Linked DNA regions of Neurospora crassa OR74A. The protein of the gene in region 1 binds, or shares a complex with, the protein of each later gene. Links are inferred from orthologs where the notes say so. Each region holds a gene or a part of one and is shown on either strand. Other genes may lie near its edges. The genes, in order: NCU07560 and NCU04068.

What was found.
Region 2: NCU07560 (region 1) and NCU04068 share a complex: the UniProt entries of both Saccharomyces cerevisiae proteins name them as parts of the mitochondrial large ribosomal subunit. The link is inferred for Neurospora crassa OR74A from reciprocal best matches to the Saccharomyces cerevisiae genes MRPL17 and MRPL6.

What each region holds. Positions count from the first base shown.
Region 1 is NC_026503.1:4,356,639-4,372,421, forward strand, and holds NCU07560 (50S ribosomal subunit L30), read left to right. Parts: upstream 1-1,387; 5' UTR 1,388-1,734; coding exon 1,735-1,771; intron 1,772-1,917; coding exon 1,918-2,690; intron 2,691-2,779; coding exon 2,780-3,076; 3' UTR 3,077-3,641; downstream 3,642-15,783. Other genes in the region: NCU16690 (hypothetical protein), read right to left, coding at 415-738; NCU07559 (hypothetical protein), read right to left, coding at 4,172-5,073, 5,142-5,181, 5,483-5,817, 5,876-6,098; NCU07558 (sporulation protein RMD1), read right to left, coding at 6,953-7,029, 7,093-7,444, 7,510-8,733; NCU07557 (hypothetical protein), read left to right, coding at 10,437-10,557, 10,622-13,898, 13,977-13,996, 14,096-14,103; crf8-1 (TBP associated factor), read right to left, coding at 15,361-15,783. UniProt on the Saccharomyces cerevisiae protein: Component of the mitochondrial ribosome (mitoribosome), a dedicated translation machinery responsible for the synthesis of mitochondrial genome-encoded proteins, including at least some of the essential transmembrane subunits of the mitochondrial respiratory chain.
Region 2 is NC_026506.1:2,630,416-2,646,033, forward strand, and holds NCU04068 (mitochondrial 54S ribosomal protein YmL16), read left to right. Parts: upstream 1-5,480; 5' UTR 5,481-5,665; coding exon 5,666-5,951; intron 5,952-6,169; coding exon 6,170-6,283; intron 6,284-6,374; coding exon 6,375-6,742; 3' UTR 6,743-6,893; coding exon of another isoform or gene 6,894-8,180; 3' UTR 8,181-8,287; downstream 8,288-15,618. Other genes in the region: NCU04066 (hypothetical protein), read left to right, coding at 685-1,005, 1,083-2,432; NCU04067 (hypothetical protein), read right to left, coding at 2,911-3,372, 3,430-3,869, 3,928-4,419, 4,478-4,571; NCU04069 (3'-phosphoadenosine 5'-phosphatase), read right to left, coding at 6,894-8,180; NCU04070 (hypothetical protein), read left to right, coding at 9,140-9,470, 9,550-10,160; cmc (carboxy-cis,cis-muconate cyclase), read right to left, coding at 11,454-12,298, 12,371-12,479, 12,550-12,696; NCU04072 (catechol dioxygenase), read left to right, coding at 14,506-14,762, 14,844-15,480. UniProt on the Saccharomyces cerevisiae protein: Component of the mitochondrial ribosome (mitoribosome), a dedicated translation machinery responsible for the synthesis of mitochondrial genome-encoded proteins, including at least some of the essential transmembrane subunits of the mitochondrial respiratory chain.

The DNA.
Region 1 (15,783 bases):
ACTCATGTGATGTATATGTTAGATGGTGTATGGTATCAGGGCCGGCTGGGGTGAATCTGGGTAAATATCCTGGCGGACAACTGGCGTGCGGTAGTTTTTATACATTAGGATCTTTTCAATGAACAGACATGACTTTTTTTTTTTTTTTTTTGTTGCATTTTGGTCATCGTTAAGGAACTTGGACTATGTAGTGTAGTCCACTGTTTCCGGCATTGCGCAAGGTGTGCTGAACAAGTCGGTTGATAACGTGATGACTGCTCATTCTATTCTTGTTCATCTTTTTTTGATATTCCACTAACTTGTCCATCCATTCTGATACGTAGCCTAGTAAAGATTTGGAAAGCTTGTCCGAACGCTAGCAAGGAGGCAGGTCTGATAATTCTATGAGATGAAGCACGCATATGTATATCGTGATCAGCGACATGGATGGTGGAAATGAATATTCTGAGCTGGGCAGTATGTGCATTGCGGCGTAGCTGAGACTTCAGTAGATGTGGCCGTGCTTGATCGCGACATTGACCGGAGTGACGACAAGCAAGTGTCGGGGATGGAGAACGATCCATGAATGATCTCAGGAAGGTTCATATCCAAAGTCAAGGAATGAATCGACAGGACACCAAGCAGCCAGACAAGACGCGTGCCACAAAAACGAGGCTTGAGAAATTCGAGACGGGGAAGCATTTCACGAAGTGGCAAGAATAACACTTTCAAAGAAACCAGCCCCATCTTGACTTTCATCTAGCGAAGTCTCCTCACACGTAGTGTACATGCCATGGAGAAGGAGACTGACTGACCAGACTGACTGGGCCAAGCTCATTTCTCAGAAAGAGCAAACACACACACACACACACAAGACAGTCTGCAGTATTATTACATACATACAATGCAAAACCGTCACGAGAGTTCGCAGGAGAAAAATATGTAAGCAGATTCTATCTAACAGCAACCCGGTAGAGCGTTTATAGGCAGGTACCGCTAGCGAATTCGTCTGCTCATGGTGGTTCCTCTCGGCACGGACTAAATGATCAGGACAGTTTTGGAGGAAGAGAAACGTCGTGATGATAAGGAATGGTGCCTTGAAGAAAGAAAAAAAAGAAGAAGAAGAAGGAAGAAGAGAAGGGGAGGGGGGATTGGTGGCAGTTTTATTGCAGCAGTTCAGTTCAAAAGTTTGCTGGACCCGCTTCGGTCAGGTGAGTGGTCATGTGGGGTCGTAGGAGCCGTGAACCTAACTGAGGACGTGAAAGTTATGGTGGGGTAGGTAGCGGGGGGGATTGGTTTTGGAGAAGAAAAAGGGAAGCTTTCGAAAAGGGAAGGCGGTGAAGGAAAGTAAATCGGTTGCCAAGACTCAATTGTTCAATCGCGACCAGGAACGAAACGAGCAGGGAGGGGACCTGACTGATCGGTGCGCGGCGGCAGCGCGGCAGGCGGGAGGGCCCCAGGGAAAGAGTGGGGCTGCGGACATCGAAAAAGTTCACGGCCGGTTTCCCGCGCTGTGTGTCGCCCGTCCGTCCGCTCTGCCCTGCCTGCCTGCCCGCCCGCCCGCCCGCCGCAGCGACCGACCGACCGACCCCGTCCCGCATCCACCCCGAGACTTGCGAGAGAGAGAGAGAGAGTTGCGTTGAGGATTGGCGCGCGCGCAAGATTCACCCGTCCTCCCTCCCTCTCCCCGTCCCGTGTCCCGTTGTCTACACACCCGGGCCCCGTTCAACAACCAAGTCATATATACTGCCCATCATGTCGGCGTCGAGTAGGGGAGCTGCTCTCCTTAGGAGTATGGACCACTTTTTCTTTATCTTCTTTTCGTATCGTCAACTCGTTACGAATTGGTGTTTTCCATGCATGGCTTCCGATCGCAAACTTTAAGCTTAAAGACACCATAACTAACCCGTCGCAATCTGTTCTTTCTCTTCCTTCCAGGCCAACAACGGTCCATCTGCCTACAATGCCGCAACCAAACCCGAGTACTTGCGCCCGCCGGCGTCACCAGCGCACCTAGACGTTTCTACTCCGCCGAGGCCTCTGCCACTGCCACTGCCACTGCCACTGCCACGACCACAACAACACTACCCCCTCCTCACCCGCCCGTCACCACATCAACAGGCACCCACGCCGCCACCTCGACCTCGTCGCAAATCTACCGCATCAAGTCGGGCGTGATCCTGACCCGCCCCCCGCTGCTGACGCGCGACCTCACCCCCTTTGAAGAATCCTTTTACTTTTACCAGAAGCGCCTCAACGAGCGGCTGACGGCCCCCTTCCGCAAGGACTTTTACTTCAAGAAGGACACGGCCGCCGACCTGGACTGGCGCATCAAGCTGAAGGAGCGCCACGGCGTGCCCGCCAAGGACATTGGTCGGTACAACCCGCGCGGCCGGATGGCGTGGAACGACGAGGTGCTGGTGGGGTCGCAGACGTCGTCGAGAAAGCACATGGTGGAGAAATTGCTTGCCGACGCGGAGATGCGCGTGTCGGAGGATGGCGAGGAGATCCCCGCCGAGGACCGGGTCCCCGTCGAGAAGCCGATGCCGAGACGGACGGAGGCGGATGAGAAAGGGGATGTCAAGCGGTTGGATCGCGCGCTGGACAAGACGCTTTATCTGGTAGTCAAAAAGAAGGCGGACAAGGAAGGCGAGGAGGCCAAGTGGATGTTCCCTACGGGCGTGGTGCCTACGGATGAGGGGTTGCATGAGGTTCGTTATATTCCCTTTTTCCCCAACCCAACTTCCAACCATTTTCCAAAACTCGCGGCCAACTAACCTTTGATGATGACGATAAACAGACCGCAGCCCGCATCCTCGCCGAGTCCGCAGGCGTCAACATGAACACGTGGATCGTCGGCCGCGTGCCCGTAGCCCACCACGTCGTCCGCCCCGTCTTCGGCCAGAAGGACGGCGCCCTGCTCAAGAAGGGCGAGAAGATCTTCTTCCTCAAGGGCCGCATCATGGCCGGCCAGGCCGACCTGACCGACAACCTGCATGATCTGGTCGACTTCAAGTGGCTCACGCAGGAGGAGCTGCGCAGCACGTTGGCGGAGGAGTACTTCCACAGCGTCAAGGGCATGTTTGCTGAGAGGTGAACAACACAACACAACAACACCCTATGTAGCCTGGTCTGGTGAAGTGAAGTATGGAAGAACAAGGTTGGAGAGGTGATGATGAGTCGATGGTCGAAGTCGGTGAGACTACACCATTATCTTCCGGGGAAATAGAATGGGGAAGTGCAGTGGGTGGCGGAAGAAGAAGAAGAGAGAAGCATGTGTACAAATGTATTGATATCAAAAGATGGTTTTAGTCGGTCGGTGGCAAGGTACAATTGTTGTTTATGCGCTGAGTAGACCTGGACCGCCCCCTAGCCGAACACAATCAAAGGTCTCGAGGAAGAGAATCAGAGATGGTTTGGAACTTGACTTGACAGTTCAAAGGCCTCGCACGCCTCAGCGTACTTGACCAGGCCGAAGCCAAGCTCGCATGCCATGTCTGCAAGAAGCGGGCGAAGGCTGACATGAAGCACAGGGACGAGAGAGGGTGTTGTTTGTAATGTAAAAACATATGCTGTGTATAGAGATTTGGGATGAAGATGTCATACAGGATGCGAGATGGTTGGTGAATACTACCAGACATCCGCTGGGTTGGTCATACCGCTATCTGAGGTGAAGTCTGATACTAACATACACAAACAAGACAGACTGAGCTAATCACATATCTGTGACCCGATTCTGCATTAGAGACGTGGATAGGTATGGCAGTGACCTCTTCAAGATCCAGCCTTGATCAATGATGAACACCGGTTCTCCCGGCTTGAGACACACAGTCAAAGCTTGTGCCAGCCGCAGACCAAAGCAACGGTACTTTTGAGCTGGTTGAAAGTCCACACCACGGCGGCCTGTAGGATATCTTCACACGTCTCCTACGCCTCCATCAGGACATCCTCCTTGATCATCCATATAAGGCCGTTGGCTTACACCTCTAGCTGGGACACTTCTCGCGCGCGTACCAGTGGTGTACTCCTCCATTCCTCGTACATCATTAACAAATTACTTGTTGGCATTACCACACCACACACAAGTCAAGTCTCAAATCTCCACCCATCTGAAAAGCAATCTGAATAACACACAAATCGTGCCCAAAGCCCACACAAAAAGGAGCTCATACAGGAGGTCCCGATGATCATCCTAGAGATTCCGAATCCGGGACTTTCTGAGCGGAATCGAAGTGGTGAGCGCCAAAACTTCACCGTGGTCAAGGACCAATTTGTTTCCAAACTTTTCCCAGAAAACTGCCTCCCACGGGGGGAGACGATGAACCTCAGGTGCCTCCTGCTTCTCTTCCTCCTCCTCCTCCTCCTCATCACTGCCGTCACCGAAAACACTGGGCGGGGTGTCAACCATGCTTCCAGTCATACCAGAAGCGACAGAAGAACAAATACTTGACCGACGACTGATAATGCTGTTGGGCGCAAAGGGATTGAGCGTGAAGAAAAGCTTGCTTGGTTTTACCGTCTTCATTCTCATGCTCCCGCACGTCTTCTCGGGCCGAGTCTTGCTCAGCCACTGCTCCTTCTGCAGCTTCTTAGCTGCAACCTTGAGGAATGCGAGGTTGGAATACCAGCCGTAAAGACCGTGTTCTTCAGCCATCTTGTTCTGGTATTCGAATCCTCGTACTGGTGTGACCCCGGGTCCTCCCTCTTCCTCTGCGGCAGAGATGAACTCAATTGAAGGCTTGTGCCCGTGGAACGAGGGAGATGGATAGTTGTTGAGGGGATACAGAATCCTGTTATCCACGATCCGAGGGAAAATGTTGTGTATTTCTTTTGTGAATCCGTCGAATGTCTCTGGAAGGGGGCCCAAAAATGTCGAGTAAAAGTGACACAGCATGTCGAGCTGAGAGTGTATGAGCAGGATAGGTCGTCTGAGCCTGTTTCTATCCTCAGCTGCTCTAAGTCTGTCGCGGAAAGCCGAAATAAGTTGATTTCGCAAGTCACGATCCACCACCGATACGTATGCCAAGCATAGTTCGGGCTCGATGTCGTTGGCAAATTGTCCCCCGAGGAGGGCCTCCACCACGTAGAGAAATCCTGCAAGAACAAACGTTAGTGGAACCAGAAAGGCCTGGGTGTCATGAAGTGCTATTGGAGTCGCTTACCTGACTGTCGCGCCAGTGCAATGCGGCGGTTCGTCAATCTCTGTGAGCATCGATCAGTAAAACAGTCCTAAACTATTGAATTGTGGCTGTTTCCCTGACCTCAATGGTGAGCTCTGTGCGACTGAGCTTCGTGATCTGCATGATTCGATTGTCATCTCTAAGAGTTGCGCGACAGTCATCAAAGCAGGAGTAGACAAGTTGGCAGATGAGTCCAACTTGAAGGCTAGTAAGCCGTTCGCCTGAGGGGGTTGCTAAGTCAAGAGTTTTGTCCTGTAAAGGAAAGCGGGCATGAGCTTGATGACCAGCAAGTCGACAGACAAAATCAGAAGGAGTCATCGTACCTCTTCTTTCAGCCAAGATGTGATCTGCTCATTGGCCCATGCCCGAAATTTCTGGGACTCGGCATCTAGTTTGTTGATGTCCAATGGCTTCTTGGTCTCCCAAGGCTGGAGGAAACGCTCCTCGACTGTTTGCGCCTCCCAGCGGGCCAAGTAAGGAACACCCCGTTCCCAAGCTTCGTTAAAACCCCAGCCGTTTGTCGCCAACTGTTGAAGGGTGTCGTATGAAAAGGAAAACGTTCGATTGACGGTCTTTGCGATGAGTTCCGCCTGGATATTTGCAGAAAGGAACCAAGGGGTGATGGCAAAGTTGAAGCTGCGCGCAGAGTATGCTGAGACTCGGAATGTCAGTTACCTCGGTGAACACCCAGGCTAAGAGATTGCCATCGTACGTACCCTTTTGCTTCTCGTCGTATTGGAGGCAAGTAAGGCCAATCTTGGTGATGTGGTAAATCTTGGAGTGATTTACCAATTCGCGGTAGAGCTCCTCCTTGGTCAGGTTAGCTTTGACGACAGCATCGGGATAACCGATTACAGAAAGCGAAATGAACTCGGCATCGGCAATCGCGTCAAGGATAGTGGGTAGATGGCCCCAGAAGTTGACGTTGTCGACCTCCATTTTGACAGAGATCAGGATCGAAGCCGCGATCTAGATGTCCATCAACATAAGTTTTGAGCCTGATGCGAGCAGATCTTGCGAAGTTGAATGCCTAACGACCCTGGAGGAAGGATGATGGTAGGAAAACAATGTTCGAACGCCGAGGTGGGGTGAAAAGGTAATGAAACCCCCGTGAGGAAAATCCCAAGTGTCCTCACTGCCCAGGCATCGCGGTAGACGCGACTTCCGCTATCGGCTTGCCTTCGTCGTACCTTCCTCGCGAACTGGAAGCTGTGCCTGTCACTTCCGTGTGCTGCAGTTCCTTCTTCGTTTGCGACGGGAACGTCACCGACGGACACCTGCCCAGTCCTGCCTGTTTGGTGCCTTGACCGTCCCATAGTATGTTTCATGATGTATCATGATGTATCTGCCGGAACATCAGATGAAGGAAGAGTAGGGAATGTCACCCGGCCAATCGAAGTACCGGGGAAAGATAGAAAAACGGGCAGAGTATCACGTCTGGTTAAGATAATGAAATGAAGTCTTACTGGTATATCGTCTATCACGGGTCGTCAAGCCAGAACGAGAATATCGTTGGCGCTCTTTGACCTATTTTCTCTGGCATATCAAGGCTCTCTCTCTCTGCCTTTCTTGTTCATCACTGGCCCTACGAAGCGCCATCCCTTCTAAATGCTATCCACCAAAGAATCCAACCAGACAAAAACAACGTCACAGCTCATCGCCTTTAGGCCCAGAACTCCTCCAGTGCTCAGAAAGATGCCCAATTCCATGCAGAAAATAATTAAAAGGAAAAGAAGTGAGTTACGCAGGGACCACCCCTCTGTTGGCACTGTATCCCGAGTTGCTGTCTTCTTCTAGTCAACGCCCGCATACAAATCGACAACAATGTTTACGGCCGCCACGAGAATCTCGGCAGCAATAAGGACAATCACTATAAAGTAGTTAGCATGATCCCAGGATGTTGTTGAGGGTGTATGTGTGCATGGCCGCTTACCGATCCACTCTAGTTTCTCTCCGTGACCGTGAGTTAGCTGGTCCTTGAGAACAGCCAACAGATCGGCAATGACATCCATACGCTCTGTCAGCAACTTGACACGCTGGTCCATCTCGAGGTAACTGCGCACGGCCTTGTACAATGGTTCGAGTTGTGGCTCGACCCAGAACAGCTCCGGTGTATCGAGGACGGAGCCGTTTAGGTGAATGTTGACACGCAATATGAAGAGCTCTCCAATTTGCATATTGATCTGTTGCCGGCTGAGGTCGATCTTGCCCGTCAATGCAATCTGCGTGGGGATGTCCTTGCATGTCTCGATGGTTGAGGCAATGAGTTCTTCAAAAAGAGACGTCTATGTGATAGGGTTAGCCAGCAGTCTTACGTCAGGCACAAAGTATAGTAAGGTGAGAAACCAACCTTCACACTCTGGGCGAGAGCGTGGGAAATGGCCAGTTTCGTCATGTAGTTGTTCTTGTCTCGCAAGGTAATGAAGTCGTTGTAGATCCGGGCCTGGTACTCGTGTGTATAGTAAAAGTTGAAGTACTCCGTCTCCGTATCGTCCGGCCCCAACTTTTCCAACTCGAACTTTGCAATCTCCTTTAGGAACCGCTGTTCTTGGGCAACCGACATGCCCCATATTACCACCACACCGTACTCAAAGAGGAAGACTTCCGGAGTGTGGACTTGAATGTCGAAATCAGCCAGCGGGTCATCCGACACAGCGTTCTCGTCGCTGATGACCCCTTGGGCCACCATGTCCTGAACACCTTCCCTGGAGGTGCTGCCTCCATTGAGATTGAGACTGATCAGGTCCTCTGTACTTTGATAACCACTGCTGTCACCTTGCGTCACCTCGCCGGTGGAATGTCTGCGAGAATGTATCGGGTCAAAAAGCCCCAGCTGTTGTTGCTCCTGGGCTTCTGCCTCGGCCCGGTTGTTCTCAGCCGCCTGCTTGGGATTGTAGCTATAAGGAGTGTAGATGCACTCGTCGATCAACTTTGGGTTTGCGCCCCGACTCTTGGATCTGCTCTTGAGGAACCGCATAAGGCCGTCCATCTGGTACCTACTAGCTGTGCAGTACGCCGTCACTCTGGGCAGCCTGTCGCGATCCGCCTTGCCGAGGCGCGCAGCATCACGACGGGCCGTGGGATCCTTGATACGGGTGTACTGCGAGTATACGTCGCGACCGGACTCCTCGTCGACGCCATCTTCCTCCAGCTCTGGGTTGGGTAACAGCTTGAGCTTCTGGGCGTTCTTGGTGCTACGTTGGGGGCCGATCTTGGGCAGGTGAGTGTTGCCAGCAGACGTATAGGGCAGGCCGGAATTGTGGTTGGTTCCGATAGTACCGCCGCTGTTCCGTCGTCGCATCTTGCCATTCAAGGCCGATAACATGGGGGGGCCGCCGCCGAGACCACCAGTGCTAATGGCGGAGGAACTTGAAGGGGACATTGGCGGATGCGGTAGGCTTGGATGCGAGGCGCGGGCCTGACGGTAGGCTGCCTCGGGCTCGATGGTCTTGGTAACGGGATTGGGGTTGAAGGTGACAGTTCGTTGCGGTCTCGTGGGACGGCTGACGTCGGGCGATGATGGTGTCGTAGTGGGGAGGAGCGGTGTATTCTCTGACGGCGTAGTGTTCTCCATTGTGAATGTCGTCGCAATCGACTAGTTGGTTGTTGTGGTGGGTGCTGTTTTGTGGTAGACCTGGGTTTTATGCGTCTCGTGTGTTTTTGCTGAATCACCGATGGAGGACTGGTCGCACGAAGGGAACAAGCAAACTGGAGATATCGACAAGGCCACCTCAAGCGCCAACGTGGATCTCTGGAGAAGCCAAAAACAATGGGTATTTATTCTGTATATCAACACACCACACTCAAGCGGGAAAAAATGCGATGCTCGCTGGTTGGGCCAGAAAAGAACAGAAAAAGATCAGAAACACGAATCGTCGGCCGTTGTGGCGGACGGTGATGGAGGCGTCTGCGGAGTAGTTTTGGTGGTGGTGGTGGTGGTGGTGGTGGTTTTCTGGGTCCGTGTCGGGTCAAGGATGGGCCCAAAGGCAAGATTTGGAGCCGGCCGAGAAAGAGAGATGCCGTCAGTGACGTCTTGTGGCCGGTGAGATGGTCGTCCGCTTGAAACCCCAAACAGTGGTGTGTGGTCGCGGCTCCGGGGCCGGCCATTATGCTACAGGGCAGTGGACTGCCGCGCCCGAGACACCTCAGCGACCACTCACAAGACAAATTTGAAATCTTTTGCTGCTCTTTTCAGGCAAGACTGGCCCCCACCTGGCCAATGCGACAAAGGCTTAAAATGCGGAGAACGGGCGGTACCTCAGATGCTCCCGGTCTAGCCCCAGCCCGCCTCCCCAGCACAATGGGGAATGCTCCTCCAGCGGGCACCAGCTGCAAGCTTCCCCTGTCGGGCTTTGTTTTGAGGAACATCATCCGTCATCCAATGTTACCCCCCCTCATTATATGCGTCGTCAAAAACGGGAATAGCTTCAATTCATTCAACTCATCAAGTCACCACTATAAGGTGCTACAGCCACTCTCAACATCATGATCTTACCGTATTTGGGATCGCGGGCTCATGATCTCGATGTTGTGGTCATGAGCCTTGAACACAAGCCATTAGGATGAGGAAATGAGTAGAATGTTGGTGGCTTCATTTCATCTGGACTTGACTTTACGGTGAACGCCATGTCACGATTTGTGGATATTTGTATGTTTACCTTCTTGCTGGGATCCACGACTAAATACACCACAGACAATGATGGCGATGGCGACGACAACAAACTCCTCCCAGCCCTTGGTTAACATTGCCGTGCTCTATCCCTCTAAACATCACTCTTTCAGAACGTGGAGTTACGTTCAAGCGGTACCATAAATGGAATCTTCCTCTTTCTTCCTCGCCCTCCTTCTCTGCTTCATGATACTCTTCCCTCACTCCCTTCTTCGCTCTGCATCTTAGGTCATCCTCTGCTTTTACTCTGGAGATCATTAAAAGACACTCGCACTCCGCGCCAAGAAATCTACCTGTATCTCGATGGATAATTGCTGCTCTTACAGTTTCCTTCCCAGACATCGTCTTGCGTCCGTATTCTAGTGTCTATGGAGTCGAAAGTGTCCGCAGCCGCTGTTCCAACTACACATTATTAACCTTGACAAGAGTTCAACGCCATCTCATATCTGCCACCTTTCAACAACTTGCTCGATCAATGGCCTCCATACACTCACTGCGCCGTTATATGTCAATCAGTTAGAGCTTGCAACGGCCGTATCGGAGCGATTCAAGTATCCATACAAAGGATACAGACCAGGCGGTGCTCGGAGTTCCACAACACAACCACGATGAACTCGATATTTGGGCCAGCCAAATCTTGGTTTACGTCGTTGCCGACATCCACCCAGGCTCTGGATCCAGAACCAGCAGCAAGCAGTTCAAACAGCTCAACACCCGGTCATAGCCACGGTGTGTACTCAGCCCCATACAGCATTATGTCGACCGAGACAGCTAACAACTTTCCAAGAAACAGCCATTGATACGTCGTCATCATCTCCGAAGAGAACCGAGCCGGACGATGAAAGTAGTTCAGATGATAACCGTTTCAACACGGCCATCCAGGACCACCTGCGGCAAAATCCTGTTCAAGAAACCCCAAAAGAGGGAACAGTTGAGGATAAAGTAGAGGAAAAAGAACCGTTTGGGGGAAGGTTTGAGTATGTGCGCGCAGCTCTTGCGAAAGAATCAAAGGGGACAGAAGACAGCGACGATGCCACGAAGTCACTCCAGGCAAATTTTTCTACATCGTCGACCAAACACGACGCCGAGGCTGGGCCTTCAAAGAGGCCTCTAGTCGTCGAAGATCTTGAGGTCTTGGGCCGTAGTGGGAGTGTCGACAGTGCGAAGAGACGGAGATTGAGCATCGGACAGCACCGGTACCCCGGATATTATGACCACCTTTTTTCAAAGGACCAGCGTCAGCGCTTTAAAAGAGAACCCGGCTCATCTCATTACCGGATCAGAGCGCCCCTGAGACCCCTGAGTAAAAACGTGCTTTCTCGAATGAGCCCTTGCACGAGCCTGGATCACGCGAAGTCAAAGGAGATTGCTAAAAGTATCAGGAACACGCCAACCACAGCAGGCGTTAAGGCGACGGAGAAAGTCCAGCAGATCAAAGAGAGGGCAAAGGAGACTCAAGCACCCAAACGAACAGAAGAGCAAGTGCTACGAGAATTCACCAAAGCCCCCATTGAAAGCATATTCGGTGGCAAGACTACAAGCAATCCAACAAACACCACTGTTCCTTCGAGGAGCCAGCCAACCAAAGATGCACGAAGAACGCAAGGTGGCAAAAATCCGGCATCAAGCCAAACAGCAACCCATCAAACAGCTCAAGCAACACAGTCGTCTCGCTCAAAGGAGAAGCCTTCGATATCACGTCTTACGCAAGCGGACGTAGATCAATTCAATTTCTTCAAGGACAAGGGCCCTCAAACGAAGCATGCAAGGATAGTCAACCATCTCCCCAGCAGTTTCAACGAAGAGCGAACCGGTTATAAGTTCACAGCTCAGCGCGCCACTAATGATTTCCAACAATCACTAACAGATGGGAGACCAGTTCGGCCTTCGCCAGCCTCAAGACGCAAGAAGTCTACCATTCCATCATCGAGCAAGAACCCACCGGCACCGACAACCAGCATTCACGCTCGCCCACCAACCCCGCCCCCTCATCACCTCCCAGCTGCTCCTCCTCCAGTTCCAGAACCAGCCCCCGATGCTGCCATCCCTCCACCCCCTCCACCCAAGAAAGCCGTGCCCGCGCAATCCCTCCTCTCCCCCACCGATGTCATCCTACAATACGTGATCAAACAAACGAAAAAACACCCCATCTCCGAGTCCGACTCTGTTCGCCACTACCGATCGAAGGTCGTGTACACCTCCAAAAAGGAGGCCAACGAAACCTGCCGACGACGGGTGCTGAACCTACTCAAGGAGGACATCCCCTTTCAAGCTGTGGAACAAGGATATGTAGGCGACCACCTGTTCAAAGGAACGATTTTTTACGAGGATGGGGACGTTCAGTTCTACTATGTGCACGAGGAGGCGGCGATGCTGGGGGACGTACTGGAGAAGAGAGAGTTGTGGGTGGACGAGGAGGGCATGGGGATTTATGCAAAGAGGATGTGGGCTGTTTGGGCTGTGAGATATTATCCGAGTGAGGAAGAAGAGACGAAGAGTCCGGGAGTGGGGATGGGAAGTGGAAATGGAAGGGTTGAGGTAGATGAAGGGGTTGAGGTAGTGGATGAAGGGGTTGAGGGGGGTGACGAAGATGATGGTGAAGAGGAGGAAGATTTGTTCGGCTGTGGGGACGTTGATGGGCAGTTGAATGAAGGGGTCACATCGACGACCAGCGAGGACTTGGTCACTTCAGGATCCCAGACGAACATGAACAATTCCCAGACCGAAAGTCACCAAACGCAAACGCAAACCGAACTCAAACTCGAGACGCAGCAGGAAATCACGAGCGACGGCCAAGGCCAAAGCCAAAGCATCCAAACACCATCAGACGAACAGACGCAGCCTACACTTCAGACGCACCAAAGACTTGAGGGCGACTCAGATGCTCAGCCAGAGCTAAAGTCCCAACCCGAATCAGTTACCCAACCACAGCCGGAGCCACAGGCTCCCTCCGATCCCACACAACAAGCCCAACCTCAACCACCATCGCAATCGCAACCCATCAATCCACCACGCCCGCCCACACCCCCCTTACCCTGCTCATTATACTCCCCACCTCCCCCCTCAACCATCTACTCCTCCTCTTCAGAATCCGACTCAGAAGACATCTCCCACACCAGAAGAAGAAGAAGAAGTCTTCCCAACAACATCCCCCCACCCCCTCCTCCCCTGCCCTCCTCCACCCTCCTCCACCCCGCCACCACTCTCCACGGCACTTTCACAACCCTCCGCCTCGCCAACCTTGAGGCATTAGAAATCTTCAAAGCCCTAACCAAGCCGAAGCCACCCGCGAGGATGAACGATGTTTCGCACTGGCGGGACGAGGTGGTTCCCGAGGCGGAGGCGAGGTTCAAGGAATGGACTAACGCAAATGGCCAGGATGATGATGATGATGTTGTTGATAACGGGAAAGACATCAATGAGCAGCAGGGAAACAATGAAAATGACGCGGACGATTACTATGGAAATGTGATAGAGAAAACACCATTCAACATAGAATGGGAGCCTGATGCGCACTTGTTCAAGTGGCGGTTTAGAAAAGTGCAGGTGTGGGTTCAGGAGTTGAAGCTGAAGGGGCCGAAGGATTTGGGCGGGTTGGAGGTTAGACAGATGCCGTCACGGTCGTCGGAGGTTGCAGGTCGAAGTACAGGTACAGGTAATGGAAATGCTGGAGGAGTTGGACCGGTACCGGCATCGACATCGATATCGGAGGCGGCAAGGCCAAGGCCAAAGGCAAGGGGGGCTGGAACGGTAAAGGTGAACGCTTCAACTGCAACTGCAACTACTTCCCTTCGCACCGCCGCCCCTAGAACGGATGATGGTGATGATGATGATGATGAGCTCGCCAACCAACACACATACTACAGAAATGCCCGGGAAGAATTAGCAGCAGCCAAGGCCAAAGCGAAGGGAAAGAAGCGTCGAAGGCCAACAAGAGAGGAGAAAGGAAAATGTAAAGCCATTGATGTTGATCCTGTTGTTCGTGGGCAAGGCAATGGGAAGCTGGCGATGCAGGAGGGGGAGGACGATGAGTGGGGAGGAATTGAGGAGGGTGACTTGAGTGAGGAGGAGTAAGCAGATAGCGGTTGGGACTTAGATATGCATGGCTTAATCTTTGAGATAACAAGCTTATGACTACCCACTGGCAGAAGTTTCATAGTGGAGAATTGTATGTTGATTCTATAAGCGTTGAGGAGGTATGAGCGCGTTCGTACGATACTTTCTGGGTTTTCGGTAGAGGTAACGACTGTGGTGACCAAATGTATAGATAGGTAGAGGGTTTACTTGTAACCCGATGGAGATCCAGTTGGCGAAGTTCACTTTCTTGGCCCTTCTTTGCAAACCAGGTGAGGGTTTGAAATTTACAGTTACAGGTCTTCGGTCCGAAGCTTACAGATGTCTCGAAGTCGGCGAAGGGTTTCAACGTTCAGTGAACGCAACAAGTTGCACATTATATCCGTGGCAAGACAACAACGGCGAATCCCAAAGGCTTTGCAAGGCAGTGAAAGGGCAGTGGAATGGATACAAGACGACCAACAAGAAGAGTATTAATCCCGTCATAAACATGTAGTAAGGAGACTTCACACGCTTATGTCTAGTTTGTTGATACTGCCTGAACACGATCTCTCACCTTAACTCTACTCACCCACACGTCAACGTCAAAGACGAAGCTTCACAGGCATGACACGACACGAGTCACTCCAAGCACGCATCTCAACGGTAGCATAGCAAATTCATGGTATTCCGATCTACCTATCCATTCCTTTTCCAGCAAATCCACAAGCTCATTCATGCACTGTATCCGGCCATCCGCCTCACCCACCATCCATCCATCCATCTTGATCCGTTTATCCTTATTTTATTTCTCCCTATTTGCACCAGAACCAGCCAACAACACCGTAACTCCTCATCAGCCAGCCGACCAATCCCCAATTTAGCAATGACCTCGCCTGCTGTCTAGCTTTTGACACGCATGAAAAGAAAGGAAGGAAATTAAAACAAGCAAGAAAAAGCAAGATACAATGCTGTAATGCTATATATCCTACAGGTCGAGCGCAAATGGGCACTCCTCGAAGTTCCTCCTCCGCCTCGCTTATCATCATATGAGCAGATACCTATGGGTATCTTCATGTTCATCCAGCCAATGGTAGTCATCCCTTTCTTCTCGTTCCCTCGTCATTTTATGATGTGATAGACTTGAGCGTCCTTGTTGCCACCTCGATCGATTGTCGTCAAGTTGACCATCACTGATTGAAACCGGAAGATATAGTCTCCTTTCCGTTCCCACTCTCAGGGGGTTTATCCAGGCAATGGCCTGTCAGCAACGCTGTGATCAGGCGTCAAGTCCTGTCTTCGTTCTTCCACCATCCACCACGGCTCGGCACTCGGCATGCGCGAGCTGCGAAGCTGCGTATGGGGATAGTCGTACATGACTTGTTCATACCCACTGCTCATCAACGACTTGAGCAGGTATACCGACAGACTCAGTTCCTTGAACAGCAGATGGCTGTTCAGGGGAAGCCTTTCAGGCCCTCACTGCATAGTCTTCAGGAAGCCGTCGAGATCGAAGCTTTCCTCGTACTGTGAATTATCCCACAGCTCCCCGAGGCCTTCGAGCCAAGCCGCTTTCTTGCCAGGTTGCCTGACATCGCCCGTCTCGATATCCACCATGTCCTCCTCCCTGCCCTCGAGGTTGTCCTTGTTCTTGCCCTCCGTTATGAGGTTTGGTCCGGCATCACCAAGGTTGAACAGATCAAGAATCTGATCCGTATCCATGGTCGCAAGTCCTGCATTCTGCTGGTTCACTACCGTACTGGCGACGTCGATCTTGAAACGTTGAAGACTGAGAATCTTCTCCTCAAGTGTTCCGCGGGTGATCAAGCGGTAAACGTTGACCACCTTCTTCTGACCGATACGATGGGCGCGGTCCATGGCCTGCAGATCCTTCTGCGGGTT
Region 2 (15,618 bases), on another chromosome or scaffold:
GCAGGAACATCCAATGTCAGTCGACGCAGAACACCTCCATCCCGAGCTGAGTCTGGAACGCAAATGACATCACCTTCTACAAACTTTCAGACATATCTTTGAATACAACGAAGTACAACAACATCCTTACCGCTACACCTATTTGGTTGAGGAACCACAAGGGTATCTTGCCAATCGATCACTTTCTGCGACGGAGGATCCAGAGAATCCTCAAGGTACATTTACCTCTCTTCATACCAGCAATGCCATGCCCGTTCACAGTCGTCTATGCTCGTCCATGTTGGTTTACTTGATGTTACTCGCCCACTCTGTCCCCGTCCGACAGCAACAGAGAACTTCTTCATATTTCCATCATCGGGTCAGTTGGGAACACTGTGAATCTGCCAAATAGGAGAACTTCCGTCGCTCCTGTTGTCTAAAAGCAGCTAGACCGGCCGAATTTGGTGTATATTGGCTTCCCATCACCCTATTGTGCAATCTACCAACAACACGTCACTTGCAGCCAGGCATGAAGATAAATCCTAGATGAGAGGCTGACTTACACATGTGTTTTTTGCGCAGATACCCTCCCAACTTGAGCCAATTCCTACCAACAGCTTTCCAGATTGGAAACCTATATCAGCCAGTCATTCAGTAGCTTCAGGGCTATATGGGAGTTTAGCTACCCACACATAGATATCCAAGATGTTTTGGTGCACTTGGAAATCCACGGCACTGTTGTTGCCCTTTCTGTTCTTCTGGCTCTCCGGTACTTCGGTCCAAGCAGCAGCGTCGACATGCCCGGCGCCCGTGCCTGCGTCATATCCTGCACCGGTAGTCCGTAATGGTTTCGAAGCCCGGCTCGTGGCTACCGGACTCAAGAAGCCGAGAGGCGTCATCGTCGATTCGAATGGAAGGCTACTGGTCGTTGAGGCTGGTAAAGGGATCACACACATGACTATAAAGGACGATGGATGGCCATGTTTGTCTGTGGAGAAGACCACGACAATTGTGTCGATGAGTGATGTAAGATGAGCTCTCCGTCCTGACCGGCCGTCACCTTTTTATAAAACAACATGAAATAAAGACTAAAACCACAACAGCTTAATCACGGCATTCAACTCTCCATCGACGGAAAAACCCTCTATGCCTCTTCTTCCAACTCAGTCTACAGCTGGGCATATGACGCAGACGCCATCCGCGTCAGCGACGAGAAATCTCCCAAGACGCTCATCAGCAACATGACTAACGCGGGCGGCGGCCACTCCACCCGCACGCTCCTAATCTCACGCAAACAGCCCGGAATCCTGCTCGTCTCGCGCGGCAGCGGGAGCAACATCGATAACGGCGCCACCGACCATTCCTCCGGCATCTCACAGATCCGAGCCTTCAACATCTCCGACCCCAACCTAGGAACACCCGGCGGCGGCGGCAAAGTATACGACTATCCCAGCGAAGGCTGGACCATCGGCTGGGGTTTGCGTAACTCGGTCGGAGTCGCCGAGGAGCCCAACACAGGCGGCATCTACAGTGTCGAGAACAGCGCGGATGGTATTAAGCGCTTTGGCGTGGACATCCACGAAGACAGTCCCGGAGAAGAGATGAACTACCATGGTGTTCTCCGCTTCCCCTCTTCGACTCCCGCTAATCAATCCTCTTCTGTCAACCAAGGACAACAGCAAGGAGGAAACCACGGCTACCCCTACTGTCTCGCCCTCTACAACTCCTCTGCCTCCCCTTCCTTCCCCTCGTTAGGAGACCTGAAAACCGGCTCCCAATTCACCCACGACTCAACGCCCTATTCTATCCCCTTTTTGCCATCTTCCGACTCCTCCTCCACCTCCTCCTCCCCACAAGCAAAACCAATCAACATCACCACCTCCGACACCTCCTGCTCCTCCACCAACTTCATCCCTCCCCGCCTCACCTTCCCCGCGCACACCGCCCCTCTCGACATCAAGTTCAGCAATGGCAATGGCAACGACAATCAAAGTCTAGGTCTAGGTCTAGCGTACATTTCTTTCCACGGAAGCTGGGACCGCTCTACTCCCGCCGGGTACAAATTATCCGCTGTGCGGTTCGATACAAGTAAAGGGGAACCGTTAGAGGCCAGCGATAGCACGAACAGTCTTGTGGACGTCATGTGGAATCGGGATGTGAGCAAGTGTCCGGGGCAGTGTTTTAGGCCGGTGGGGCTGGCAGTTGATGGACAAGAAAGGATCTGGATGACAGATGACGATAAGGGGGATGTGTGGGTTTTGAAGCAGGTTGGGGAGGTTAAAGATGAGGAAGGTGCTGATGGGGGGAGTGGCAGTGGAAATGTTAATGGGGATAGTGATAGTGCCGCTGCCCCAATGCGTGCCAAGAGGAGTGGGAGTTGTGCGGAGTGGTTGGGGGTGGGAATGTCGGCTATGGCCGCGGTTATTGGGAGTCTGTTGTTTGCTGTGTTGTGAGTAGGTTATGGTGTTTGAGGTTTGGAGGAGGCAGAGTATGTCTGCGATGATCATCAGTTACGAATAGGGGCGTTGCTTGATTATTTGTTGCCTAGGTGCACTAAATCAGACTTGTGAGAAAGGAGACGACGATAGCCTCTACAACAGCCACCTAAATTTTTGCGTCTACTTGCTTGAAATGCTAGGCTGAGTGCCGGTGCATTGCTCGAATTGCTGGGAAATAAATACGAATGATTTTCCTAGCGACTATACGCAACCTAAGATGTGCCGCTTGCCCATATGGATGAAGGACTATCTTCAGACTCTTATTTCCCCCATTTCTCTCCTAGATTGACCCGAGTTACCGTGACCTGTCTCATCCCCCAACGACCAGAGATTGATACCACCAAATGTAGCGTGTGTGAACAGATCCCAAGCATATGGTTCCACGCTTCTTGATTAAAGGATATATGCACCTCAGATTACCCCCAGACTAGCATCATATTTCATAGGGCAACGCAGTCGTGTTTGCAGACGTTTCCCAAACCGACGAGTAGAGAGGGGCCTCAAAAGACTGCAAAGCACCAGCAATCTGCTCAAACGACGAAATCATGAACCCAGCCACCTCGCCAAGCGCCAAGAGTGCGAGGTTGCGAACAGCAGAGGGCGGTAGGCCATAGGATCCCATGACGAGAGAAGCGGTAGGGCAAACGATGTAGGGCCACCAGCTGCGCGAGGAAGCACCGGTCAACAAGGACTCGTTCACAGACGATGCCGCTTCCGCGGTGTTCTCCAGTATGTCGAGGATATCGTTGGTGATGTTGGAGGCTTGTTGGAGTCTTTGCGTTTGGTCCTCGTATTTGGTGGCTAGGGTCTCGGTGACGGCGAGGAGGCGGTCCATTCCTTGCTCGAGGTTGTCTTGACGGAGGGCTAATGCGGCGGCTTGTTGGTTGGAGAGTTCCTATCCAGGGTTAGTCACACGATGTAAGTGACGGTCACTGTCAGGAAGATGGCCTACAATTTGTTGTTGTAGGGCGGTGGTTGATGCTGCGGCTGTGGCAACCACCGCAACTAGGGCTCCAATGCCATCGTTGGCTCGGACGGAGACTTGTTGAAGGGCATGTTCGTGCGCATGGGCCACTCGTGAGTGACCCTCAAGAACACCAGTAAGCAGTAGGTTGAGCAGTTTCTGCAGGTCTTCGGCTTGTTGTTGGCTGTCGTGTAGGGAGGCAAAGGACCTTCGGAGTGTTGCTTCAACATCGGTCGCCAAGTATTCATGAACCATGGCAAGCCCATCTCTCAGTTTATCGATCTGTGGTGTGAGGTTGTCGAGATTTTTCATGGACTGTTGTGTCCGCAGGTCAAGTCGATTCATTTGCTTCTGAAGCTGAGCTTCCACGCCTTCTGTAAGGTTCTTCATCACATTCGTGAGTCGTTGATAGAGGAGAATGTTTTGTGCTGTAAATCACTGTCAGCTACGACTCTGAAACGGTGCGTCTCAACCTAGATACCATACCTTTCTCATTATCCGCTCTGGCCGCCTCACAGAACCGCAAGGCCTTGTGCCGATAACTAATCCACGTATTCCACGCAGCATCTGACGACTTCATGGCTGACAGGCAGTGATCGATTTCATGACTGCTGACGTGGAGTTGTGCTTGGTCCCGGATCGCAATCTGACTCAGGGCCGGTTCACGGAACTTGGCACATTGCGCCGGGATATTGAACCTGCCTCGCTCCAAATCACATATCGCTAGACTGGCAGCGTAGGAATCAACAAAGTCGCGAACTTGCCGACCAGTGTCTGTGAGGATTGTGGCGTCGTTCTTTCCGTCTACCAGCTGGCAGTTGTTGACTAGGAGTCGGGCGGCCACACGATGGCAAAACGGTTCTGATTCGAGTTCTTGAAGTTCACTTAGGGCGACGGCGTAGATATTTGGTAGGCGTGAGGACGCTCGAAGCAGATCCGAAGGCTGGATGTTGCGGTCGATGTTGACTTGATGGTCGGCTGTGTTGCGGTCATATTATTAGTCAAGCCCTGCAGGCAGTGCTCTGATATTACTTACGAACTGCCACTTTTCTTTCACCTCCCCACGAAAAGGCCAGAGAAGGTGTAGCTGTAACGGCACAGAGAGCCGTGAAGAGAAGCTTCCTGGCCATAGTTGTCATGTAAGTGCAATGCGACAGGCTGATGATGATATACTGATAAAGTCAGATGCGTCCAGAAGAGTGCCGTCGAAGGGACTTCGGCAGTAAGAAATGGAGATTCTGGCAATATTGGTAGTGCAATTTTGGCGATCGAAGTTTGTGGCCATGCAACTGAAAATTCTGTGGTGTTTTTGAAGAGAAGGAGCGATTCAAGAGAGGGAAGGAAGGAAGGTGTATGAGGGTAAGTTGGCGATCGCGACTGCCCAGGATAAGAGAAGCGGACTTGAATTTAGCGGGACAAGAATCACAGGATTGTGAAACCGCGAAAAGGTTTCGTGTGAAATGACTTCACTTGAAGTTCGCATCGAATATGACTGTGATTGTCTGCCGAGCTCGACTTTTGCTGGTTCTTAATCGTCTGATGTGACGCTGTCCTCTCCAACAGAAGCGAGCCTAGACAAAGATTTGGGCTGTAGACCACTTGTCTTGACATCACTGGAATCTGCATCTTTTCATCCGGTATCGAGAAAGTGCAAACAGCTCGCTTGAGACAGTTTGGAAGACTTCGACCGTGACGGGTGTTCTGGGTGGTGATGACTATCGTGAGGTTGGCATCCGTAAAGTCGTCATCGGAAAGCTGGACGATTGTCGAACGGGAGATTAATTCAACATTCAATCTGAATATTGTGAAACAATATGTTCCATCGAGTAAACTCTACACTTCCACGCCCTGTGCCATTTTCTTTTTGAAGATTTCTTACTCGAGATGAATGATGTCGGATGGAATAACATCTGTTGGTGTTCGTCGTTGTTTCTTAGCCCAAGCGAATAGCAGCAGCGAGACTATGCGGATACGACCCTAACCCTGTTGTATTTACAGCCAATCACTAGCTGCATTGCTGTGCCGCGTCAGGTCCGATACATTTTTTGGAGCTCTCCGAAGATCCACTCGGTTCATCCCACCACCCGGCCGGCTTGCCATTGACTCGGTGCTGCCCTTGCGACTGCCAGAACCTCCGAACTGGAGCGCCGCGTCTCTTCGCCAATTCCGGTTCCGCATCGTGACGACGGCCACCACCCTGCCGACGACGACGACACTCACCACGATGTTCGCCCCAAGCCGAAGGAGGGTCCTTGAGGCCGTTGCCTCTTCCTCATCTTCTCCCGTCGTCACACTCCCCGGCTTCCTGGTGCCCGCCTTCCAACAGACTGCCGGTGCCGCCGCCCGGCGCAACTTTTCCGCGACGACAACCCGCCCGTCCAAGCTCGGCCGCACCCCGCTCAGTATCCCTCCTGGCGTCGAGATCACCATTGGCGAGCCCTTCGTCAAGCGCGACATGACGCAGTGGAAGCAGCAGCCTAAGCGCAAGATTACGGTGCAGGGCCCGTTGGGTTAGTTTGTTCTATTGTAAAATCGACTTGGCAAAAGGACCAGATGGGTGTTTTATTTGAGGATACGCAACGAAACTGGAGCGGGCGCAACAGATGGGCTGGGAGAGGCCCGAGAGAGAACGTTGTTTATGGGTGTTTGCGCGAGAGTGCAAAGGGGACTAGGATGGGAGCAGAGCAGCTGGCTGACTTGTTGCACGTGTGCGTGTGCTTTTTCACAGGACAACTCGAGATGGACATTCCCGACTTCATCAAGATCGACCACGACGCCGAGGCAAGGAGAGCGACCCTCAGCGTAGCGAACCGGGACGAGAAGGAGCAGAGAGAGATGTGGGGTATGGCAAACACCTTCCTTGTCTTGGAGAATGTGGAAAGTTACGGGCGGCCAGTCAGCTGACGATTTCGAATCTTTCTTGGACAAAACAGGAACAACATGGGCGTACCTCAACCGCTTCATTATGGGTGTATCAGAAGGTCACACGGCCGTGTTGCGTTTGGTCGGTATCGGTTACAGAGCTACAATCGACACCCGCCCCGAGAAGGAGGAATACCCCGGCCAGCAGTTCGTCTGCCTCAAGCTCGGTTTCTCCCACCCCGTCGAGATGGGCGTTCCCAAGGGCATGAAGGCCAGCACGCCGCAGCCGACAAGAATCCTGCTTGAGGGCATCAACAGAGAGCAGGTCATGACCTTCGCCGCTGATATCAGGAGGTGGCGTGTACCGGAACCCTACAAGGGTAAGGGTATCTTTGTCAACGGCGAGACCATCAAGTTGAAGCAGAAGAAGATCAAATAGAGGACGCGCGGTGGGTTTTGGTGGCTGATATGGTTGTTGATGAGGATAAGGGGGGAATATTGTACATTTAGTCTATTATTTTTTTTGGCACACACATGGCCTCATAACGGCCCGATACCTGCCATAACCTGTACACTATGACACCGAGGCTTTACTGCTGCCCGAGAACTTCCTGAACGACCTTGATGACCTGGTCGTGGACCGCAGCAGGCGCCGCAATGACACCCTTGTTTTCAGCCAACGTGCGGCCGACGCTGAAATCCAGGCGGTTTCCACTCACGTCGGTAACCTGACCACCAGCCTCACGCACAATCAGATCTCCAGCAGCGTGATCCCAGATCTTCTCCTGGTAAGACTTGGAAGTAGGCAGACGGAGGTAGATATCACCCGCGCCGCGAGCAATAGAGCCGTACTTGGCCTGGGAATCCATGCGCACACTAGGCTTGGTGATCCCGAGCTTCTGCGCAATCTGTCCAGCCACGCCCTGATCCGAGTGACCCGCCTCCACGCTCTCGCAGAAGCTGGCGTTGGACATCTCTGTAATAGGCTTCATCGCAATGGACTTGCCCTCCGCAAGACCGGCGGTGCCCAGGGGTCTGCTAGTCGCGCCTTGGCCCTGAACGGCCGAGAAGATGACACCCCGGCCCTCATCGGTCGCATTGGTGCCGATATCCGCAGCCAACGGCGCAGCGTCGTCCACAGGCAGGTTCGGGCAACCGAGAACACCGACCTTGACGTCACCGTCCACCATCAGTCCCAAGCACACGGCATACTGTCCACCGCGCAGGAAGCCCTTGGTGCCGTCGATGGGGTCGATAGTCCATATCCTGCCCTTGGCGCCGCCCTTGCTGTTGCCCTGGTCGATGATCTCCAGCATCGCGTCGGCATCCTTGATGGCGCCGCCAAGGAGTTGCTCGGCAGCCTCATCGTCAAGCTTGGTGGACTTGACGAGCTCCCAGATCTGGTCCCGCAGGGGGGTGTCCTCGCGCAGCTGAGCGGCCTCCTCCTCAGCCACAATCTCGTCCGAAGGAAAGTTGGCCTTGAGGGCGCTGATGATGAGCGCCTGAGCGCCAAAGTCGCCAATGGTCACAGGGGACTTGTCGTCCTTGGAAACGGTGCCCTTGGCCTTCTCGTGGAAGACGCGCTTGGTGAGGCGGGCGGCCCGCTGGACGGCGAGCTGAGCTACCTCGAGCTCCTTTGCGTACTGGGAAGAGGCCATCTTCTGTGTAGATGTAGTTGTAATGGTTGAGCGGCTGGTTGCTGTGATTGTGTTGGCACTGCCAGTCAAATGGCTCGCAATGAGGGAAAGCCGGGGAAAGGAGATGCGGGAACTGAAGATAGCCAGGATGAGGACGATGAGGGAGAAAACGAAGAGAATTTTGGAGTAGAAAGTATGGGACGATGCCTTTTTCTGCTGTTTGATCTTATCCACAGTCATACAGCCGCGAGAGGATCGATAAACCTCGGGGAATTTTCAATCCGTAACCGGAATACGTATTCAGTCCAAGTTGTTGAGTGGTTGAACTTGGGATTCTGGCTGTCAAATGTTCCCCGCACTGATTCTGTAGCGGCGAAGCTGTTGACGTATGACTGCCCTTTTTGTCTTTTTTCCCACTTCAATTGGTTCCCCGCAATGCCACCAACCGCTCGCTATCTCCACAAATGCAGACATGAGAGTCTCAAAATCTTTGTTTACTTTGATGAAATGCTTTACCTATTTCTTGATGTTTCTTTTTCGATTTGGCACTCCACTCTTGAGAGAATGCCCGTCAAAACAGCAATGATGACACGGCTCGGTTCAGGGTCCTTTCCATGTTAAACATGAGCACCCACGGATAAGCTAGGTAGCTAGCCCCGAACTCGGAGAGAGCTTCTCTTTCGACTCCAATATTCATCACATTTTGTGGGATTTCTATCTTCACTTCCGCCGACGACACTCAGACGGTCCCGATGACCTCGAAGCGAACTGCGCAGCAACAGTAAATTCTGCACCCTGTTATCAACGAAAAGGGAACCGGACCGAAAGTCCAACCCTTTACATTCAACGAACCAACTGAGCTCCGAAAAGCTGCAGCATCCATGCCGCAGCGTGCCAAGCCAAGTGGCTTGCTTGGATCAACTCCCATTCAGCAACTCAAAGCGCTTCTGGAGACACCATCACGGGTCACATCGATGCGGAGGTCGAGCTGAACAGGCCCTGGTATAACCTAATTGCCAGCCTCATGGTGTTGCTGGTCACTTGATAAGTATGGACGGGCCGTCGTGGCGCCCACGGGTGTGTTTTTACTTCTATCAAGTTTGTATTTTCCTGATAACTCTGTCAATCTCCTCATTGTCCATTTTTTTTTGTTGTTGTTGTTTCCTACAAGTTCTGGTTGCTGATGACCAGAGAGAGCGATGCGCGAACCCGCAAAAATGATTCCTACTACATCTTCCCTCTTCGCGATACTTGTGTACCTAGCGACAGAAGCGCGACAAGTACGAGCCGACCCAAATGCGCCGTGTTACTTTCCTGGTGGCGAGTTCGCACCAGGCTACTTTGCTTGCCAGGCCTTCAACGCTCCAGTTTCTTCTTGTTGTCCGGCAGGGTGGACATGTTTCAGCAATGCGCTTTGCATTACGACGACAGAAAGCAACTCGTTTCCCAACTTGACTCTGGGCGCGGTGCAGCGAGGAGCTTGTACAAATCCTCAATGGAATAACTACATCTGCGGGAGTGCTTGCCTTGGTAAGTCCAATCAAAGCTGTCTGACGGTCAGTGCCATTGTCAACAACTGACTGACATCTACCTTGCTTTCATTTAATAGATAACGGGAACCGCAAAGGCGAATTAGCTGCCTGTGGAAACGGCCGATTCTGCTGTGCGTCAGACTTCAACGAAGGAAAATGTGACTGTTCATCAAACGATGAAGATAGCAGTGCATTCACCATCAGTGCCGGCCTGGTGCAAACCATTATACAAGTGTCTGACACGACATTCACGGGAACTCCATCACTCAGCATCGCGTCCACGAGGGTTAGCACCGTAAAAGCATCCGCCACAGGATCAGGAACTACCATTCAGATAACCGATGACCCATCATCAACCTCCCTAACCTCCAGCGAGACCTCTTCATTGGCGCCGACGACAACGCCAGCTGCTCCACCCATTGCAAGTTCCAATGGAGACGTTGGCAGTGACTCCAGCGGCTCTAGTAGTAGTAGTAACGGTCTCAAGATTGGGCTAGGCGTTGGTATTCCGGTCGCTGTCTTGGCCGCTGCGGGAGCGTTAGCCTATCTTCTCTGGTGGAAGCCGAGGCAGGATGAGCGCGCGCGTCGCATTTCGCAGCATGACCATTACTTTGTGTCGACGGATCTGGCGGAGAATGATCCCCATGGGCCGGCTAAGTACGAGCCGTATAGGCAGGCGGCTACATAGTAAGGATCGGTCAAGTGAGGGTTGTGTGCTGTGTAGTTTCGATATCAGGGGAGGATGGAGGGACATCTGCTTTTTGGAAGTAAGGTTGATCGAGAGGAAAGTAGTGATGACGATATATACTTCATCTTTGCTGGAACCCAAATCCGTCATCATGCAACGTGGTTCTCTGGGATACGTTAACGCACATTGTTCCATTTTATTGAAAGAAAGCTCATTGTCGATTGAACGTGCTGCGTAGCATATTAGCCATGGCAAATGACGGAAACACATCTTCCAAATTTCGAACCTTCCTTCAGTCCGCCGGTGTAATACAACAAACACATTTGAAAAAAAGATAGGTTTTAGAGATGCGTGACAACTGAACCGACCATAGCCTTCGGGAACTAAACCACCTACCCTTTCCGTTTACAAACACTCACGATGCATTTTCACAGTGACAATCCAGACCTGAGTAACGCTGTAAAACTAATCCCTCCCAGCCTTGAAGGCCTTAAAGAAGACGGAGAGAGGGATAAGAGGATACGTTACCGAGGCTTCTATAACGGCACAAAACATCACCATTCTGCAATATCACATCGAACAGAGGACACTTTCTCTGTCTCTTGGAAGTCTAATAAGAGCTCCCAAACTTGCCTGCTCGACACAGGAACCTTCACTAAACTAACGAACAAACCAACTCAACCACCACAACCTTGTCCCTAACCTACCTGAAGGTTTGGTGTTTCCCAGTAGCAGCAGATATTTACAAAAACCAAGAAGGTCTGAAAAGACCACCTAAAGAAAAAAGAAAAAAAGGATAGCAGGCAGGACCATTCATGCAATGATGCGCAAAAAGAGTGGGATTGCCAGGAATCGAACCTGGGTCCTCTCGGATCGTTGTGTACAAAGAACCACAACGAGAAGTACTGACCACTATACTACAATCCCTTGTGATGAGAGAAACTTCAGATCTATGTATTTATATACGTCGGGAGACCAGACACAGTGGGCTGGTATAGCTCTTGGGACAAACTTCGTCAACCACGCCCCGGCTTTGTGTTGGTTCACCACTACAGCAAAGACTGAAAAATTGGCAGTGAAATAATGGACGACTTGCTTCCCAATTGCAAGCTTGCATCGTTCGCGGTCTACAGGTTCAATCCTTTTCTACTTCATTGTCATGATCATAGATAGAAGCATGTTGTTACTGGCTCACATTGATGTAACGCATCTTTCGCTACTTACCTCTTGCGCATCCTTCGGGGGGTACACCCATCATCATTCCTTCATCAAAACGACAGAACAGCATTCCATCTAATCGTACCAAATGGCATTCATCCCAAACCCTGGCTCCGGAATCCTGACCCTCGCAACCCTGTGCAAGAACTCGTCCTTCCACCGATAAATCTCCAACCAGCCCTCCTGATCGTCCGTAATCGCCATCCACTCATCACTCCACGGGCACGGGCTAACCGCATTGCTATGCCCACCGCTCGTCGGCGTCGGGCTAAGGAACAGCTGCTTCTCGATGCTTCCGCAGTCCCTGAGCTTGAAGCCCGCAATGTACCCCTGCAGCTCGAACTTGTTCGCCCGCGAACTAGCAAACATGTACTTGCCGCTAAAGGTCAGCGCGCACACGTCGGCGCGGTAGAGGCCCTTGCCGGTCTCGGGGTCCCGATCGGGAATGCCCGGTGGGATCAGCGGGAAGCTGTGATGCGTGTACACGGGCATGTGCGTGGCCGGGTCGATGACGTACTCGCAGATGCGGTTGCCGGCCTCCATCAGGGCATACAAATAGTTGCCCGTGGGGTGCATGGCGACCCAGCGCGGGTGGTCGCCCGGATCGGGAGCGTCGACGGAGCCGACTAGTTCGACTTCGCCCGAGGCCAGCTTGCGGTGCGTCCAGAGCTTGTTTGCGGTCAGGTCGGCTGAGTAGAGGTAGGTCTCGGTCGGGTCGAACACCATGCCGTGGATGCCAGTGTTTTCTTGATATTCGTAGTTCTGGACGTTCTTCTCGAGCTTGCCGGTCTCGGAGACCGAGAAGACGTTGCCGTAGCCGGCGAACTTGTAGAAGGGGTTCGCATAGACGGCGTAGGGGGGCTGCTTGGCTGCGAGGAGGAAGATGGCACGCGTGTTGGTGTCGGCGTCGTTGGCCCTGGCTGTATACAAACACAAACACGTCATTTAGTCCGAGAACATTGGGTCGTGATATAGGAGTTTTGGTAACGTACGGTGACCACCGATGGGGTGCGATGCCTCGTGGACAATCTCAGTCGGGCTCTTGACGGCAAAGCTGCTCCATTTCTTCATGGCAGCGCCGTAAATGTTCTTCCTCTCATGCTATTCCCATCTCCATTGTGAGCAGGCAAAGTCGCAGTACTCGTGGACATTTGATGATGGATTCTCATACGTCAAAGGTCATCCATGATATCGGCTCATCCTGAGGAATTTCTGTTCTCTTGATGAGCTTGCATGTGAGCTTCTCGTCGTCGAACTGGACAGTGAAGATGGCACCTGGCGGGGTCCAGGTACCAATCATCAAATGATGGAGGGGCATCTTGAAATGACGTCGACTGGGAGGAATAGGCGACGCGACTGCGACTGCGACTGCGACCTGGAAAGTTCACGTCGGCGTAGGATCACGAAGCGCGAAACAACGATGTTGAGAAATGGGAATATCTCGAGGACCTTGACGGACGAAGTTCCATGTTCCCAAAATCCGACCAGTTCATCCCATCCCCCAACTCGAGATCCGACATGATTGCCCGGCTGTCGCGAGACGGGGGTCGCATCAATCGTTTACACATGGAATGGAGCTGCGACCGGCATTGGGAAAACGCTGAATGGTGTTAGTTTCGTTCTGCCCCCCACTTGGTCCCCAGCTTTCGGTATCCAATGGTGGGGAGAATGTTTACACGGGCACGAGGTCGGGACTCGGAAAGCGGCAACGGTAGATTTCAGAAGGATTTCTTCCCAGCGGCCGCAGCGGACTTGTGTGGGATTTTTCCCATCTGTAGCGACCACTCCAGTGACCATCGTTCCATGCCCGCCTCTGCAAGGCCCAGAACGCCCCCGAAAGTCGATTGGGAGGGAGACCAGGCCTCCCTTGCCCGCCGGATGAAAACCGGAACCCCGATGCCCCGTTCCAGAGCCCCGGGGGGCTGTCATGCGAACCTTGCTGCCCGTCCGGTCATTGCACGGGCAATGACAGGCTGGGCGGGAAAAGGCTCACCCATCCCATTCAAACAGTGAACTCATTACTATGCCGTAGGTATATACGGTACCTCGAGTGTTGGTGTTTGTTGTACTTTGGAACACAGCCTACAATGGAGACGGCTATCACTGCTACAGTAGGCAACCAATTGGTTACCGACATGAAAGGCAACCAGATCCAATATATCGAGGATTGGGGTTGATAAGTACCTAGGTACCGGCGTCTGAACATTATGATGATGATGGGGAGGCTGATGGTTGAAGATACATACATAGTAAACAGAGCGCCTATGGTAGTATATTTTCTCCTCGAGCTCCTCAATGCCGAGATCTGGAGAGTGGATTCGCGGGCAATTGTTAGACATTAGCCGCACGATTGTTGCCAAGACGGACATAAGATTCACACCGTTTGGAAAAAGTCGAGATCGCCTCCAAGCATGCCAGATCAGCAGTTCTCGATGTCTCGAGTGGTTCACCGCAGTCAGTCGAGCAAGTGTTGAACTCAATTTAGGAACAAATTTGTTGCCTTGATTGGTATTGGAAGCCACAGTACCGGGGATTCTTTGCAAGCTGAGACATTGAACCCAACCATCCCGGCAGCGAATCGGCAGCAGTTTTGAAGATCCAGGGTTAGGGGCTACCGTGACGCAGGGCTATATTTCTCCCGCTTTGCCTCCGTTTCTCCATAACCATTAACCCCACACTCACATCACACCCACAGTGACCGACATAGGAATCTCAACCTGCCGCAAGTCCGTCCGGATCCAGAGCTCTCAAAGGGCAGCGGGGAAACATGGAGGCACATGGCACCATCCGGGCACCTGGGCACCTGGGGCGTGTGCGATCCTATCATGTTGCGTCCATTCACAATGCCATGAAGATCCAGGGTGTGCGTCGAGGGAAAGAGAGATCCCAGTTGTACACTACGGTGACGGCCTGCTTTGTAGTGTATAGTCCCTTTTGTATATAACATTCTTCGAGGAACCTCTTGCTCCGGCTGTCCCCCTTCTTCTTCTCTCATTGTAATTGTCATCAAACTACCTACAAGTTTGGATCTGCCTGTTACATACTTTTTATCCTCTTGATCCTCTCCGTATTGTTGATTCCAGTGTTTTCATCATCATCGTCATCATCATCAGCACAACAGGCAAAGATGGCTTCTCACAGATTCGACCCCAACTTCACCCAGAATGTCATTGACGGCATGGGCCCCAACACCACTCCCCGCAACCGTCAGGTTCTTGGTGCTCTGATCCGTCACATCCACGACTTCGCTCGCGAGGTTGAGCTCACCATGGACGAGTGGATGGCTGGTGTCAAGTACATTAATGAGGTCGGCCGCGTCTACAGCGAGTCTGGCCAGACCCGTAACGAGGCCCACCGTCTCTCCGACATCTTGGGTCTTGAAACGTAAGTTTTTTTTTTTTTTTTGCTTTCTCACAGATGATCCAATAAACTCAAGAACTTCCATACTAACAATTTCCTCTTCAGCCTTGTTGATGAGATCGCCCACAAGATTGTCGTCGAGGAGGGTCTTGAGCCCACCTCGTCCTCGATTCTCGGGCCCTTCTGGTCCCCCAACGCCCCCTTCCGCGAGAACGGTGGCTCCATCATCCAGGACGGTGTCCCTCCCAAGGGCCGCGTGACCAAGATGCACGGTGTCATCCGCGACATCACCACGGGCAAGCCCATTCCCAACGCCGTGTTCGACATCTGGCAAGCCTCCGCCAACGGCAAGTACGACTTCCAGGACCCTCAGAACCAGACGCCCAACAACCTGCGCGGCAAGTTCAAGGCCAACGAGAAGGGCGAGTACTGGTTCTACTGCCTCCACCCGACTGCTTACAGTCTGCCCACCGACGGCCCCTCGTATGCCCTCCTCCAGCTCATGGACCGCCACCCCATGCGTCCCGCTCACATCCACATCATGGTTACCCATCCCGAGTACCAGGGCTGCACTACTCAGCTCTACCCCAGCGACGACCCCTGGATCACCAACGACACCGTCTTCGCTGTTAAGGATGATCTCGTTGTGACCTTCAAGCCTATTGAGGGTGACGAGAAGGCCGTTCTTGAGCTCGAGTACAACGTCAACCTTGCTCCCAAGGGCTTCAAGGGCAAGGTCTAAGCAATGTCTTTTGGCTTGGCTTGGTTGATCGTTGATGAAGAAGAGAGAAAAAAAAGAATCCCTTTTTCTTGCTTTGTACAATTTATACCCGCACATATTATCATTGGAGGCGCGTGTTCACAAAACGATAGGGAACTG